Xenopus tropicalis: one gene and its partners. The protein of the gene in region 1 interacts with the protein of each later gene in a pairwise test. Links are inferred from orthologs where the notes say so. Each region holds a gene or a part of one and is shown in the gene's direction. Other genes may lie near its edges. The genes, in order: dab1, lnx1, mbnl1 and clasrp.

Region 1 (3,572 bases):
AATAAATACATATATGTATACATATATATATATAAGTGCCATGTGGTATGAGACACAGTAGGAAGGAGGTCCCTGCCCCGTAGAGCTTACAATCTGTGTCCGTTTTTTTGTCATAGAGATATTAATGCCCATCTGCTGTTTCACATACACTTGGTTTTTCTCATTGAGTTTTTCAATTTTCGGTTGATGCTACCACTAGCACCACAACTTTAATTAGAAAAGCTAAGTGATAAGTCACTCTGTAACACTTGAATATGAATTGAGAACACAATGTAAAAGAAAGTTTAAATATTTTCCTTGCATAAACTACAGCTACATGATGAATGTATTTGTTTCCATATGAAAAATGTTTCTTAACAGGTTTCGACAGCATGCAGGCTGCAGAGGAAAATTATTAGTTTCAAACCACTGACTCCAAAAAGAATTTGATGGAGTCTGTTTAACTTCTGGCAGGCAAATCTGTAATATAGAATGAAATATGGATTCCATAGCAGTCCGTATTCTTTTATCTATCTTTTAACAAATGATTCTTTTATCCTTACCTAACCGTGTCCTCCAAAACCCAGTTCCGTCTCAATGTCATTATAATATATGCTGTAAACAGAGATTTTTAGAGCAACTCCATTTTCACTTGATGTGAGCTATAAGAATGCGTCTGCTAATTGTTGCCAATGTCATCTCTCTACCTAGCGCCAACGCCAGCCCCGAGGCAGAGCTCTCCTTCAAAATCCTCAGCGTCTCACACAAGCGATCCCATTCCTGATGACATCTTTGAAGAAGGCTTTGAAAGTCCCTGTAAAAGTGGAGAACAAGATGCAGTAAGTCCCTCTAAGATAAAAGCTGATTCCCCAGACAACACAAAGATACTGACATACATTCTGCTCAATAATATATACCAGAAGCTGAAAGGAATGTAGAAAAGAAAGCAAATTTTAAAGTTGGTTCTGCAATTTTAGGCAGGAGTGTTGTTTGATACTGTGAATTCTTTAGCTGTAGCAGAATATGTAAGTAGCCGGTAGCTGCTTTGTGCTTGAGCTTGTACTGAATGTACAAGAATTGAAAGATACATGGGGAGTTGTTTTCAAAACTAAATACAGTATATTTATTTGGCATTAAAGGAAGATTTTAGAGTTTAGAAATAAAACTGTCTTCTCTTACAAACTAATAGAAATGCTTTAATCCTGCTCTTTTCTAAACTGTCTGCTCTTTCGCTGTTTAGCAATATGAGTGTTATTGTTCTTGTATTTTAGCCTGATGCATCTCAGGCCTCATCCTGCACTGACCTAGGTGAGCCAAGTGGTGATGCTATAAGCCCACAGGTCGGTAGCTAGATAGCACAGCTGGCGGTAGGTATCTGTCTCTTTCTCTTATTCTTGTTGTATCCCTTCATTCACACTTTGTTTCATACCTTTCCAATAATTTTCTTCTTCGCGATCTCTTTGCTACACCCAATGTGAAGCTTGTTTTTCCATTTTGTACATAATTCCTAGTACCTTCATTTATGTTACACTTAGTTTGTGCTGTGTCCTGTATGGTTTGTCCAAAATATATTTTGCTACTACCTTATATGGTTCTGTTAAATATCTATTGCATCAATAGGCCAATATCTAAACTGTCTGTATAGTTACCAATGCCTATATGTTTAGCCATCATGTTGTTATGCTTAATAGGCTGCACTAAGGTATAAATTCTGCCAGTTTAATTAAAGCACATTTGGGAGAGAGAGAATAGTTCATTACTCACTTGTTTTTATTTACACCCTTATCTAATTATAGTGATGAGAAAATCTGTCCCGTTTTGACAAAAAGTTTTTGAAACCTCAGTACAATTTGCCAAACTGCAAAAATTGGTGAAACGCATTAAAGTTAATGGGTATTTTTTTCAATATCTTTTCTTTAGCAAATTGTATTTAAGTCAATCAGAATTTTTTGGTGGAGCTTTTTTTTTTACAAAAAATACATTGAAGTCAAATTCACTGCAGTAAAAAAAAAAAATTTGCAATGTAATTTTGCTGCAGTTTTGCAAAAAAAAAAACAAAAAAAATCATCACTGGCAAAACGTGGAATCCATGCCGGGTGAAAAATTTTGCTCTTCTCAGTGAACCTTATGCTAAATCAGAATAGAAGTGTGTGCCAATCTGGGAATAGGTGACTTTGGGAAGGATAGTGTCAGGTAAACACCAATATATGATATAAATAATAATAACCCTCCCCCAAAAAAGATTATAAGCTATAGCGAGGAAATGGAAGCAATGGCTATTTTAATAAAACCACTATTTACTACATGTTTGCGCATGATCTTAATTTATTCTGTTAGGATAAAGACATACAGAGCTACTTAGTAGCAGCTAATTGTTGTGGCTAAGAAGGGTATTAATATGAAATTGGTCCTCCCTTTTGCTGCAACAACAGCATTCACTCTTGTGTGAAGCCTTTCCACTAGATTTTGGAACAATATTGGTGGGCTTGCCATTTCATCCAACAAATGTTGGATGTGTTCAGTTGGGTTCTTCCACCCCCATCTCAAATAACAAGTTATCTGTACTTACCTCACTTTGTTTACTGCACTATTATTGCAAACAATATTGAAACAAGAAAAAGTATTTTCCAAGTAGGAGGTAAGAAATTATCAAAAATGTCGTTATATGCTTACCAGGAGGGCTGTGGATAAGACTGCACCAGCTCTCCACCTCGGCATTGCACTTGGGTCTGTAGTTCTTAAATCACTTTATAGTGTACTGCAAGATTATTATTTACTCTTTTTATGACTTCTTACATATTTTAACACATATTGTAGGTTTTTTGTAACTCAGGCAGGGTTGGACTGGGCTGGAAAATAAACTCCGGTGGGCCCTGGTTCTGGTGGGCCCCGGCGGCCCAGATGCGATCCCTGTTGCTGGTGTCCCTCCCCTGATGCGTTGAAAGTAAGTTTCACTTACATGCGCTCAGAGGAGGACATCGGGCGGGTGTAGGGGCCCCTGTGGGGGTTTAGGGTGTCCTGGTGGGGGCCCCTATGGGGTGTATGGGGGATGCAGCGGGGGCACCGTGGGGGTGCAGGGCCCCTGGGGAAGTAGGCCCTGAACCCCCCAGTCCAACCCTGAACTCATCAGTAAGTGTTCCTGCTGATGACATGGTTTTAAAAAGGGTGTTCTTCATTACTGCAGATTACACAGTTTGTGCCACAGAGTTCCTCCTGCTTTATGGCTGGTTGTAAATATTATCCTAAACTCCTATAAATAATATTAAAACAACTACACCAGTTTAGTTAAATTCAAAAGGGACACTGAGCAGTTTTCAGATCTCGATGAAAGAATTGTTATGTAGTGTACTTCTCTCAGGTATTGAAAATTGAACATTATATTTACAGTCAAGGTACTCCCTTGAGATATTTAACAATAAAACTTTTAGTACATACACTCTTAATGAAAAAGCTGGTATTTATAAAATCAACTCCCTTATAGCTATTCTAGAGAAAGATCATGTTTTATTGAATAGTGGTTTCATTTCAAACATTTTTTATTTTGTTCACACAATAATGCTTACAGAATAACTGGCCATGAAGCTATTTTATAT
Region 2 (3,572 bases), on another chromosome or scaffold:
TATTACTGAGGGTATTCAGTTCACAGTTTTGCACCAGTGCAGTAACCCATAGCAAATTAGTTCTGATCAATAGTTAAATGTAGTCATAACAAAGGTCTGGTTGCCACAGGTTGCTGCGCTGGTATAAAGTTCCACATACAATATCTTGAATCCTCCCTATCCAGCCTCAATGACCATTTTATTATAGACTTTCTGCCCTCCAGCTGCAGTTACAATACAACTTCCATCATCCCCTACTATCAGAGGTGGGGTCTGTTGACGTATAACAACTGATGGAGGACAGATGTTTGGAATTCCCTTTGCTTTGCTTTTTACAATCACAAAGATGCTCCTAATGACAAGTGAAACTGTACTGAATGCAGGAATGCAAGTTTGGGCAATTTCCAGCTAATACCATTATAACCTAACAGAAACCTGCATGTTAAGGCAAGTCTAAAACTTCTGCCAAAACATCTATAGATCAGAAACTTGGCTTTAAGGGAACGGTATCTTCCCCCGAGGGGTCGGTGGCATGTTAATTAGACTTAATTATTCCATGAACTTAATTCTTTTTTCACGTTGCTAACTATAGAATTAAACCATAGAATGTGCCTGTGCAATATCATTGCCCATGCTCTGTTACATGTATGACCCACAAGAGCAGTTGTGGTTGTGCTGTTGTTGCATGAATATACAACATTCCATAAAGGTGCGTACATCTAAAGTGTCTAAAGCGGCCTCTTGAACTCTCACATAGTTGCACTAAATGCTGTTGGTTATACCTCCTATTGTAAGTTACACACAGTGTGCCTATTGATGCAGGGGAACCAGTGGTGTAAATACTCTGCACTGGACCCCCTGCAAAAAAAAATTCAGAGGGGCTTGGTAGCAAACTCTACATGCCCCTCCCCCCCACAGGAGTTCCCCCGCCCACTTGCAAATTTGGAGACGTCCTCCTGAAATCGCACACTGCACTTGCAGTCATAAATGAGCCCCTATAATTCCTGGCAATGTATTAACTGATTTAATCTGGCTATTTTTATGTAACATTTCATGTTTTCTTAAGCACACCTCATAATGATACTTAACTGCTGTCATTAATGGGTGAATGATCTTATTTTATTACACTTCAATAATATGGTTTTATAATTTACAAATTCGCCAAAAAATATGTTTTCAAGTGGTTGTTATTGCTTGCATCTGTAAAAGTACATATATGTCATGGGCTTTCCCTAAACAGATTGGTGTTACAAAAGGATGGAAGTCTCTATGAAGGAATAGTAGCTAGTATAAAACTAGTACCCATGGGTGTGGCGGCAAGTCGTATATTTAACAGGAAATGATCCTCCCTAAACAAGCAGATATAAAATAATATTGCTTATCAAAAAGGAGGTCAAATATTTTTCAGGTTAGAGCAAATAAATACATTCATAGGAAATGTTCTGCCCATAATAGATTTTTTTGATTGGTCCCTATTTGTACAATAATCACTTATCCAAACCAGTGTATATTGTATACTTTGTGTTTATAATGAATTGCACTTTCTATCTCAAGACTTCTTTGTTCCTCTCAAAGGCGCTTTCAGAACACTTTACAGGAGTCACCCTTGTTTTGTGAAATAAGAGACATGAGATGTCTCCGTAAATGACTTTAGCTCTTGTATCGAGGGCAGGTTGAGACTGGCATGAAGATGGATCTATTCTTGTCTATCTGATGGAATGGATATTTACTTTAGTGCAAGGAATGTTACAGAATAATAAATATCCAGGGGCATTCATTTAAGCAGCCAGCATGAGGTAACACCCACATTCTCGATAAATGTAGTGCACCTTCATTATTTAATACTGTCATAAACACCAATTTGTACCTACAAACTTGTCTTAATATGAAATTGTGATTTGTGATTCCAGTAAATGGTACAACCCTGTTTCCAAAAAAGTAAAAATGTAAATGAAAAATGTAAATGAAAAGATACTGCAATACTTTGCAAATTATGTAAACCCTATATTTAATTGCAGATAGTACAAAGGTAACATATTAAATATTAAAACTTGTTATTGTTTTCTTTCTTATGATTGTTTTGGATGGGTGACAGGTCTGGGCTGCAGGCAGATAGGCAGTTTATCACCCAGAATCTCTTACTTGTTGTAAAGCCATGCAGAATGCAGTTCGGCACTGTCTTGCTGAAGTAAGTATGGCCTTCCCTGAAAAAGACGCTGTCTAGATGGCAGCATACAGTATGTTGCTCCAAAACCTCCAGCTTTAATGGTGCCTTCCCAGATGTGCAAGCCACCCATGCCACCACAGATGCTGCCTATTGATAACAAGCCATATGAGCTACCTTCTACTCTTAAGTATCTTTTTAATACTGTAAATGTTTAAATCCCCTACTTTTTATGCAACAATTTACCTTACATGTCTAAATGCGTATTATATAGTTTGTATTGATTTCAGAAGCAAGAGCATTAATAATCATCCCTTACTCCACAAACACCCCTGTCAAAATGTATGGCCAGTTATTCTTGTCCAGCCCTCTCAGGGAGTGATTTATTGTACTATTCCACAGATATGGGTAATATTTCTCTCTTTCTATCCCATTAAACAGGTATGTAATATATGGAATATTTGTAACCTGGTATTTTTCATTATAAAGGGGTCTTTCACGAATGTGGGACACGATGCATTATGGCTACTAAAACATTTCAACTGTAAAAGGGATTATTTTGCATCAACATAGATATATCATAATTTAATAAAAATCATGTACAAGGGCCTTTTTTATTATTAAGATATACAAAACTTATTTAGGCTATAGGCACTAATGTGTTTTGTTGTCTGTATTAACGCCATACAGGTTTGTGTGATCAAGATTGGGACTGAAATCTCCTTGCTCTGCACCCTACATTATGGAGTCAAATGATGCAATTGAAGAACTGGACAATGAAAAACCCCAATCACTGTGTACTGTATGTGGTCAACTGCATTCAGAAGAGGAGAACCATTCTTATACATACACTGAGGAAGTGGATGATGATTTGCTGTGCAATATCTGCTTGCATGCCCTCATACAACCGCTAGACACTCCATGTGGCCATACCTACTGTACTCTCTGCCTCACTAGCTTTCTAGTCCATGAAGACTTTTGCCCTGTGGATCGTAAGCATATTTTGTTGCAGACTTGCAAGAAATCCACCATACTTGTAAAAAATCTTTTAGATAAACTTCCAGTCATCTGCCCATTTAAGGAACACTGTACAGATATTGTTCAACGGTGTGACCTTGAGGAACACTTCCAGAACAGGTATGTTCCTTCTCTATGTCTATGTTATGGTAAATCTGTTTTCCAAGTCACTTATAACATTGTGTTTGTTCTAGTTCTATGACTATGCAACTGATTGTTGTTGCTGTTGAATTAATCTCCATTATTCTGAATTGGTGAGCATCTATGCATTTACAATAGTGCTGCCTTTGGTACAGGTTATAATTTTGTCCAGGTGTCTAGATTAGAAACCTCTAGTGCAAGAATCCCCAACCTTTTTTTACTTGTGAGCCACACTCAGATATAAAACGTGTTGGTGAGCCACACAAGCATG
Region 3 (3,572 bases), on another chromosome or scaffold:
AGTAATTAGCTGTGATTCACCCATGCCTTGAGCGCATCTCATCACTCAGTGATCTTACAGCAACAATGCCTAATTAAAGTTTTTAGGGAGGCTATCAACTTTCAATTACAGAAGCAATATAGTTCCTAAACAGAGGATGCCTTTTCTGATTCCACAGCCAGCTCTTGAAATACCAGAAACAGACACAAAGTAGCTGCCCTTGGGACAACAGATATAGCTGAACTTACACAAAACTTAACTGTAAGATCAAAGTGTGCCTGCCAGTAACCCAAAAGCAGTCTGAACATATAATGGGACTCTAATGTAGGAAATACATTTTGCCACTGCATCAATTGCACCAATCTAAGCTTTGCTTTAGTTTTCTAACCTGTAGTTTACTGATAATGTATTTTATAATGTTATCGCTATTATTTTATTTTTTATTTATGGGTTCATCCCAAGGGTTAAAGGACATGTCAACCCCTTAGATGAAAATTTAATATAGTGTATAAAGGGCAGAACAGTACCTTATTATAGCTGTGGCTCTGAGTGCTGAATAATTGAGCAGTGTTGTGCTCCATGGCTATCAGTGTTCACAAACCGCTGCCTACAGACTGCCAGACAACACTCTTTGGTGTGTTGGCGTATACGCAAGTGCATTTGTAGCAAGCCTTATTAAACACATGCGCCGTCAGTACCGGCCCTTCGTTAACGCGGTTGTGCGTGTTAACAAAGCTTGTTTAAAAAAAAACTTAAAAAAAATCCTTGAAGAGATCAGCAGGAGGGGCTAGGCACACATGTGCATTTGTAACATACACGCACGCTCTTGATGACTTCACCTGTCAAAATGGCCGTCGGGTGAAACACGAAACAGAAAAAGGAATAATGCAACGGTTCGGGTTGTAGGAGGAAGTGGTGGAGTGGTACGTATGCGGTTAGGGTGGGGGTAAGGCGCCCTTGGCATTAGACTTAATTTAAAACTTAGCCTTGACATCTCCTTTAATGCATCTGGGTGCTCGTTTAAGTTAGCAAGGAACCTAGCAGAACCATATGGCTTTGTATCCCAAAGGGTTGTTCTGAGCAAATTTGGTAATTGTCTCTCTCTCTGGGTACAAAACTGTATAGAGGTAAATTACCAACGCTTGGATTCATGTGGCTGAGTACTAAGGGGAGCGAATCATATCCATTAGGGCAAAGTCCCAAAGCTCTTGTGTTTTAGACATTTCAAATTGCTAATACAGGTATGGGATCCCTTATCCATAAACCCGTTATCCAGAAAGCTCCGAATTATGGAAAGCCTGTCTCCAATAGACTCCATTTTAATTAAGTAATTCAGAATTTTAAAACTGATTTCCTTTTTCTCTGTAGTATAAAAACAGTACCTTGTAATTGATCCCAACTAAGATATAAATAATCCTTATTGGATGCAAAACAATCCTATTGGGTTTAATTAATGTTTTATTAATTTTTTAGTAGACTTAAGGTATGGAGATCCAAATTACGGAAAGACCCCTTATCCGGAATACCCTTGGTCCCGAGCATTCTGGATAATGGATCCTATACCTGTACACTGTTACCCATACTAAAGCCTGAAACTCCCAAGGGGGCTTGAACTGAAAATGTCAGACAACAACTGCTCTAGAGATTCTAATACAGGGTAATACAACATACTTTTACCCATCAATGACCAATATGCACAGTACTCTGTACCCCTGTACCCTTGCACCCAAAGCATCTAGTGCAAGGTGCAGAGTACAGTAATTGGACAAAAGAACCCTCTATATAAGCCCCATATGCCACTTGCATTCAAAGGTGCTAATTCTAAACACCTTTTAATAACGTGCAGGTAAGGCTGATGCCAGACGTGGCGTAGGGCTGATATTTTCGGCAAGCGGAAAAACGCTTGGCGAAAATACAGCCCTATGCCTGCTACTTGTGCCTGCACCCGAATGAATGAGATACGCTCGGGTGCAGGCACATGTAGCCGATATACGCATGAAAACGCGAGATAATGCAAAGTCGCATTATCTCGCGTTTTCATGCGTATATCGGCTACATGTGCCTGCACCCGAGTGTATCTCATTCATTAGCGTGCAGGCACAAGTAGCAGGCGTAGGGCTGTATTTTCGCCAAGCGTTTTTCCGCTTGCCGAAAATATCTGTGTGTCTGGCATCAACCTAATAGGTGGGATCCATAAATTGTCATTTGCAATTAGATGCCACATATTCCCAATTATACCATAAAGACCAGACCTACAGTGCTGAATGTTTTCCACAATTTATATTTGTCAGTTCAAGTCAAGAGTTAATCAGAAGATAAGAATGAAAGAAAAACTTGTGTCAGTGACATAATTCACTATGTCATGTGTTCATCACCTGAAATGCTTCAATGACTGTACTTAAAGACCTGGAGGAGAACTGGCTGCTGCTAGACATGGAATTTTCCTTTGTTTTGCTACACAAAATTAACATTTACTATAAACCCTTTTGCATGGGTTCAGTTAATAAATGTAAATCATTATCTTATCTACTGCCTTCAGTATAAAAGGTTGGCATATTGTATGGGTGTTATCAAGTACATGGCATGCAGTGGGAAGAAATGCCCACCAGAGTTCAGTAGGAACAGATGCTGTACATGGAAGGAAGTTTATGTGGGTTACAGGATGGCACTGATGTTTCCATAAACTGTTGAAGGAGATCTGTACTTTTGGAATCACCAGTGTCCGTTAATACTTGCAACAGATGTTACAGTTTTACACTGTGACTGTGTAAAACCAAAGGGCAGAAATAAATTATAATTAAAAGAATGTATATAGCATCTGTAAATTATAACATCCTGCATTGGTTATCATTGAGGTCAGTTTAGGTAGAGTTTACTAACAGTTAATTCCTTGTTTGATTTGTGCTGTATATATTTGTGATTGAACAATCATTTCTGTGACCATAACAAACCAAATTAAATGTATGTACATAACAGTATTATGCAGATTATGCTACAGAAAGACAAACCCTTATCCTGGCCTTAAGTGACTTATTCTAATGTTTTTTTTTTCAGCCAATGTTTTCAGTCGCACCAAGCCTAGCCACCAGTGCAACAGCAGCCTTTAACCCCTACCTGGGACCAGTTTCTCCAGGTCTCATGCCAGCTGAAATTCTTCCTACTACGCCAATGCTTGTCACAGGAAATCCCGGAGTGGCAGTTCCATCAGCTGCAGCCGCAGCTGCACAGAAGTTAATGCGAACAGACAGACTAGAGGTAAAGAGGCAATTCACTAATTCAATAGGACTGGCACACCTGCTTGTGTCACTTCTCTTTAGTAAAAAAAAAAGCTATATATCTATATATATATATATATATATATATATATATATATATATATATATATATAAAAAATGTTCTGCAAATTATCTGGACGCAAGATAACATCATTTGTCTTTTCTTTTCTTAACAAGAAATTGCTTAAACAAGTTATTTCTAATGACCTAATTAGTATCTGCTATTCCCAGTGGTAAGGGCAGCAGCATTTTCATTGTTTTCTACTTAGAGACATACTTTTTATAGTGTACAAAAAACAGAGTTTGGGAGCTAAAGTT
Region 4 (3,572 bases), on another chromosome or scaffold:
CTGTAAATATGCTTTTTACTACATGACACAATTCAGTGGTAACTATTATAAAAATGGGGGAGGGTAAATTTACTCTTAATATAAAACATGAAAATCTAATTTGTTTTTATTGTAAGTAGTATGCTTCCCCCTTCCAGCTCTAAGGAATAACTTCCCTGTTTAAACATAGAATGCAGCACACTGATCACTCATTAAAAAAGGGCTCCCATTCCCGTGCCTTCCTAATTTGAAAGACTGTTTTTAACAAAGTGATGATGAACTGGATGGGGGATTCTGCTTTTCTGGTTTATTAAATGAGTGTAATGAATCAAATTTGAAATGTGCCTAACATTTTTATTTTGCTAGGATGCCATGGCAAGGGGATCCCAATAACATGATTGACCGCTTTGATGTGCGAGCTCACCTTGATTATATTCCGGAGTATAAACCCCCTCTGCTGACAACAATGTAAGGCAAAGCATGGCACATATATATAAAAAAAAGTGGGAAAAAATCGCATTATATCCAAAAATTTCGCATCACGATCATACAAAAATATTGTGGTACGATCTGAAAGTTCTGAAATTTTCGTATCCGAATGATTGTAAGCGGTGTGAAAAACTTTCTGACTTTGATCCTTCAGTGCATGAATTTGGAAGCCTCCCATAGGACTCAATGGAACTCTGCAGCTCCAACCTGGCCAAAGGAAAGTCACGATACCGAAGATGGAATAATTCCAAAACTTGTTTGTTTTGTCGCATAAATTCTCGCAAAGTATGAAAAAGTAGCACAAATTAAAAAATTTCGTATAAAATATGCACAGTTCTAAAACTTAGAAGAAATACGAATTGTTAGTATTCGGACTCAAACGTACATTGATGAATGGGCCCCTTAGTGTATCTTTCACCTTTATTGACCCACATTAATTAAAACACAAAAATATGTCAGATATATATTTTATAATATTTTTAGAATAGATTTTATAATATTGTTGAGGTTATTGATTTGGTTTATGCTTAAATAAATAAACCTTAAATACTTATCACTTTTAGCAAAGACAGGGATACTGGGGGATGCCAGTTTCTTCACAGCGATTACATTAAGTAACCTTGGACCCTGGCCAGTTCTCTTCTTCACTGTAAAAGCACACTGGCCCAGGGTATATTCACATAAGCACCATCTTTAGTGACTTCTGGCAGTGCTTCCTATGGGATTTTAATTAGTGTATTTATCAATTGGTGAACTTGAACTTTTACCTATTTATTTATATATAATTTTTAAAAATCCCATAGGAATCAATAGAACGTGGGTGAGTTTTTATTACGTTTATTATTTAGCTCTAAACTCACATTTTGATGACCCTACTATTTTAAAAATGTGCATGGTCCTGGAGAGCTGCTGGATTTCACTGAAGATGCAGCATGATGCTGGAAGAAATGCACTCCAGGTTGAAGTGTTTTTAAGTGAAAAGATGCACTGGCCCAACATCAGAGGGAGGATTGAAAATTTTCGTAGTTGTTTGCAGGACCAAACAGATGGCTTTCCTAGCTTCAACTAGACTTTACTTGAAATGGTCATTTTCGTTGATGGATAAGCTTGGTCCTACAGTAACAAAAAGATCTTTTAAAAATCTTAACGTGCATGGCCAGCTTAAGTCCAACTCTGTGTGGCAGATTTATTAAGACACGAATTCGAATCCCGAATGGGAAAAATTCAGATCGGATGCGATAATTTCTGAAGATCGCAAATATCACGAATATGCTTACGAAAAAATTGTATTAGTCACGATAATATCGCATTGGCGATCCGAAAGTCATAATTTTCATATCCAAACGATCGTAAAATGCAGGAAAACCTTTCTGACTTTGATCCTTCTGTGCATGATTTTGGAAGCCTCCCATAGGAATCAATGGCACTCTACAGCTCCAACCTGGCCCAAGGAAAGTCACGATACCGAAGCTTGAATGAATTTCGAAACTTTTGTAATTGTTGCGACAATATGATTTTGCCGCGTTTTTTTTTTTACGCACAGTATGAAAAGATCTCGTTAACATGCAAAAAAATCGGCAAAAATACACAAGGAACGAAAAAGTCGCAGAAAAAACGATTAATAAATCTCCCCCTGTGTGTCTCTGCTCCAATCTTCATTTAGCCGCGTCACAGTCTTATGTGCACATGATTTTGCATCGTGTGGACACACCACCAACATTAACTATGCATCCAGTCAGAAATGGCTGATGACTTCAGGGGCCAGTTCAGTAAGCAGAAAGTAAGGTACAAAAAATGAATGGTTAGATGATAGTAACATATCTGAAAATGGATTCTAGGGATTTACTGTTATATTTCTTTAGTCTGTACAGTTCTCTGATTTGTCGAAAATTCTGTAGAATTACTAAAAATCGTTCTTCTGTTTTACACCTAAACAGCTCATCTGAGCAAGAGTCTGATGACCGTAAATGTAATTATGAGCGGTATCGGGGACTTGTTCAAAACGACTTTGCTGGAAGTGAGTATCTCTACTATATTTACATTAATTAAATTAATGAGCAAGCCCCCAAGTGCTATTTTCCATTAATTTTGGGGAATGTAATGCTATTTTGACCATTTAATGCAAGTTTCTGATTTAAGTCTAGTTGGAGTGAGACACAAAGGAACAACTGAGTGCTGGAAGAGATTTCACCAGCCAGATTGGGACTCTCTCACCCAGTCAGCTGAACCATCTGATGAAACGAAAGTTTATCAGATGTTCCCACCATGTTATCTCTGAAAAATACAATTGGTTCATCACATATGAAAGTGGGGTCTTTAAGCTGACTTGATCAGTTTGTAAGCTTTGCTTTGCAATTGTTCAGCTTTTAAATTCTGGCATTGTTGCTACAACTGTTAAAGGAACAGTAACACTAAAAAATGAAAGAGCTTTAAAGTAATAAAAATATAATGCACTGTTGCCCTGCACTGGTAAAACTGGGGTGTTTGCTACAGTAACACTACTATAATTTATATAATAAGCTGCTGTGTAGCCATGGGGGAAGCCATTCAAGCTGGAAAAAAGGAGAAAAGGCACAGGTTACATGGCAGATAACAGATAAGTTCTGTAGAATACAATAGTGTTTTGTCTGTTATCTGCTATGAGCCTGTGCCTTTTCTCCTTTGAATGGCTGCCTCCATGGCTAAATAGCAGCTTATTTATATAAATTATAGTAGACTTTTTGAAGTAAACACACAACTTTAACTAGTGCAGGGCAGCAGCACATTATATTTTAGTTACTTTTATACACTTTCATTTTTTGGTGTTACTGTTCCTTTAAGACCTTTTTGGCTTTTTGAGGCCCATTTGAGCTTACTCGTGATTGCCGTTTTAATTAACTGTGAGCAATTACTTTGTTTGCCTGCCCCGCATTTTAATTTTTATACGTACGGGACAACAGTGGATTTATTATAAAAGCCCTTAGATGCTGCATTTTGTACGGTTTATATTTATATTTTAAAGGTTTTTTTTTTTTTTTCTTTCTGGCCTAAATATTTTTTTTGCAATTGTTCTTTTACTTAAAGCATATACGCCATATTTGTTTTTAAAGCTGGAGACTTGTAAA

What was found.
Region 2: the proteins of dab1 (region 1) and lnx1 interact in binary tests that used the Homo sapiens proteins (3 or more experiments, as listed by UniProt). The link is inferred for Xenopus tropicalis from reciprocal best matches to the Homo sapiens genes DAB1 and LNX1.
Region 3: the proteins of dab1 (region 1) and mbnl1 interact in binary tests that used the Homo sapiens proteins (3 or more experiments, as listed by UniProt). The link is inferred for Xenopus tropicalis from reciprocal best matches to the Homo sapiens genes DAB1 and MBNL1.
Region 4: the proteins of dab1 (region 1) and clasrp interact in a two-hybrid assay, tested with the Homo sapiens proteins (2 studies listed by BioGRID and IntAct). The link is inferred for Xenopus tropicalis from reciprocal best matches to the Homo sapiens genes DAB1 and CLASRP.

Annotation. Positions count from the first base shown.
Region 1 is NC_030680.2:87,453,424-87,456,995, forward strand, and holds part of dab1 (disabled homolog 1), read left to right. Parts: intron 1-690; coding exon 691-818; intron 819-1,250; coding exon 1,251-1,331; 3' UTR 1,332-1,346; intron 1,347-3,572. UniProt on the Homo sapiens protein: Signaling adapter of the reelin-mediated signaling pathway, which regulates the migration and differentiation of postmitotic neurons during brain development.
Region 2 is NC_030677.2:39,804,327-39,807,898, reverse strand, and holds part of lnx1 (E3 ubiquitin-protein ligase LNX), read left to right. Parts: intron 1-2,145; exon of another isoform or gene 2,146-2,167; intron 2,168-2,833; 5' UTR 2,834-2,885; coding exon 2,886-3,280; intron 3,281-3,572.
Region 3 is NC_030681.2:117,529,099-117,532,670, reverse strand, and holds part of mbnl1 (muscleblind-like protein 1), read left to right. Parts: intron 1-3,033; coding exon 3,034-3,234; intron 3,235-3,572. UniProt on the Homo sapiens protein: Mediates pre-mRNA alternative splicing regulation. Acts either as activator or repressor of splicing on specific pre-mRNA targets. Inhibits cardiac troponin-T (TNNT2) pre-mRNA exon inclusion but induces insulin receptor (IR) pre-mRNA exon inclusion in muscle.
Region 4 is NC_030684.2:71,269,584-71,273,155, reverse strand, and holds part of clasrp (CLK4-associating serine/arginine rich protein), read left to right. Parts: intron 1-345; coding exon 346-447; intron 448-2,405; coding exon 2,406-2,485; intron 2,486-3,572. UniProt on the Homo sapiens protein: Probably functions as an alternative splicing regulator. May regulate the mRNA splicing of genes such as CLK1. May act by regulating members of the CLK kinase family.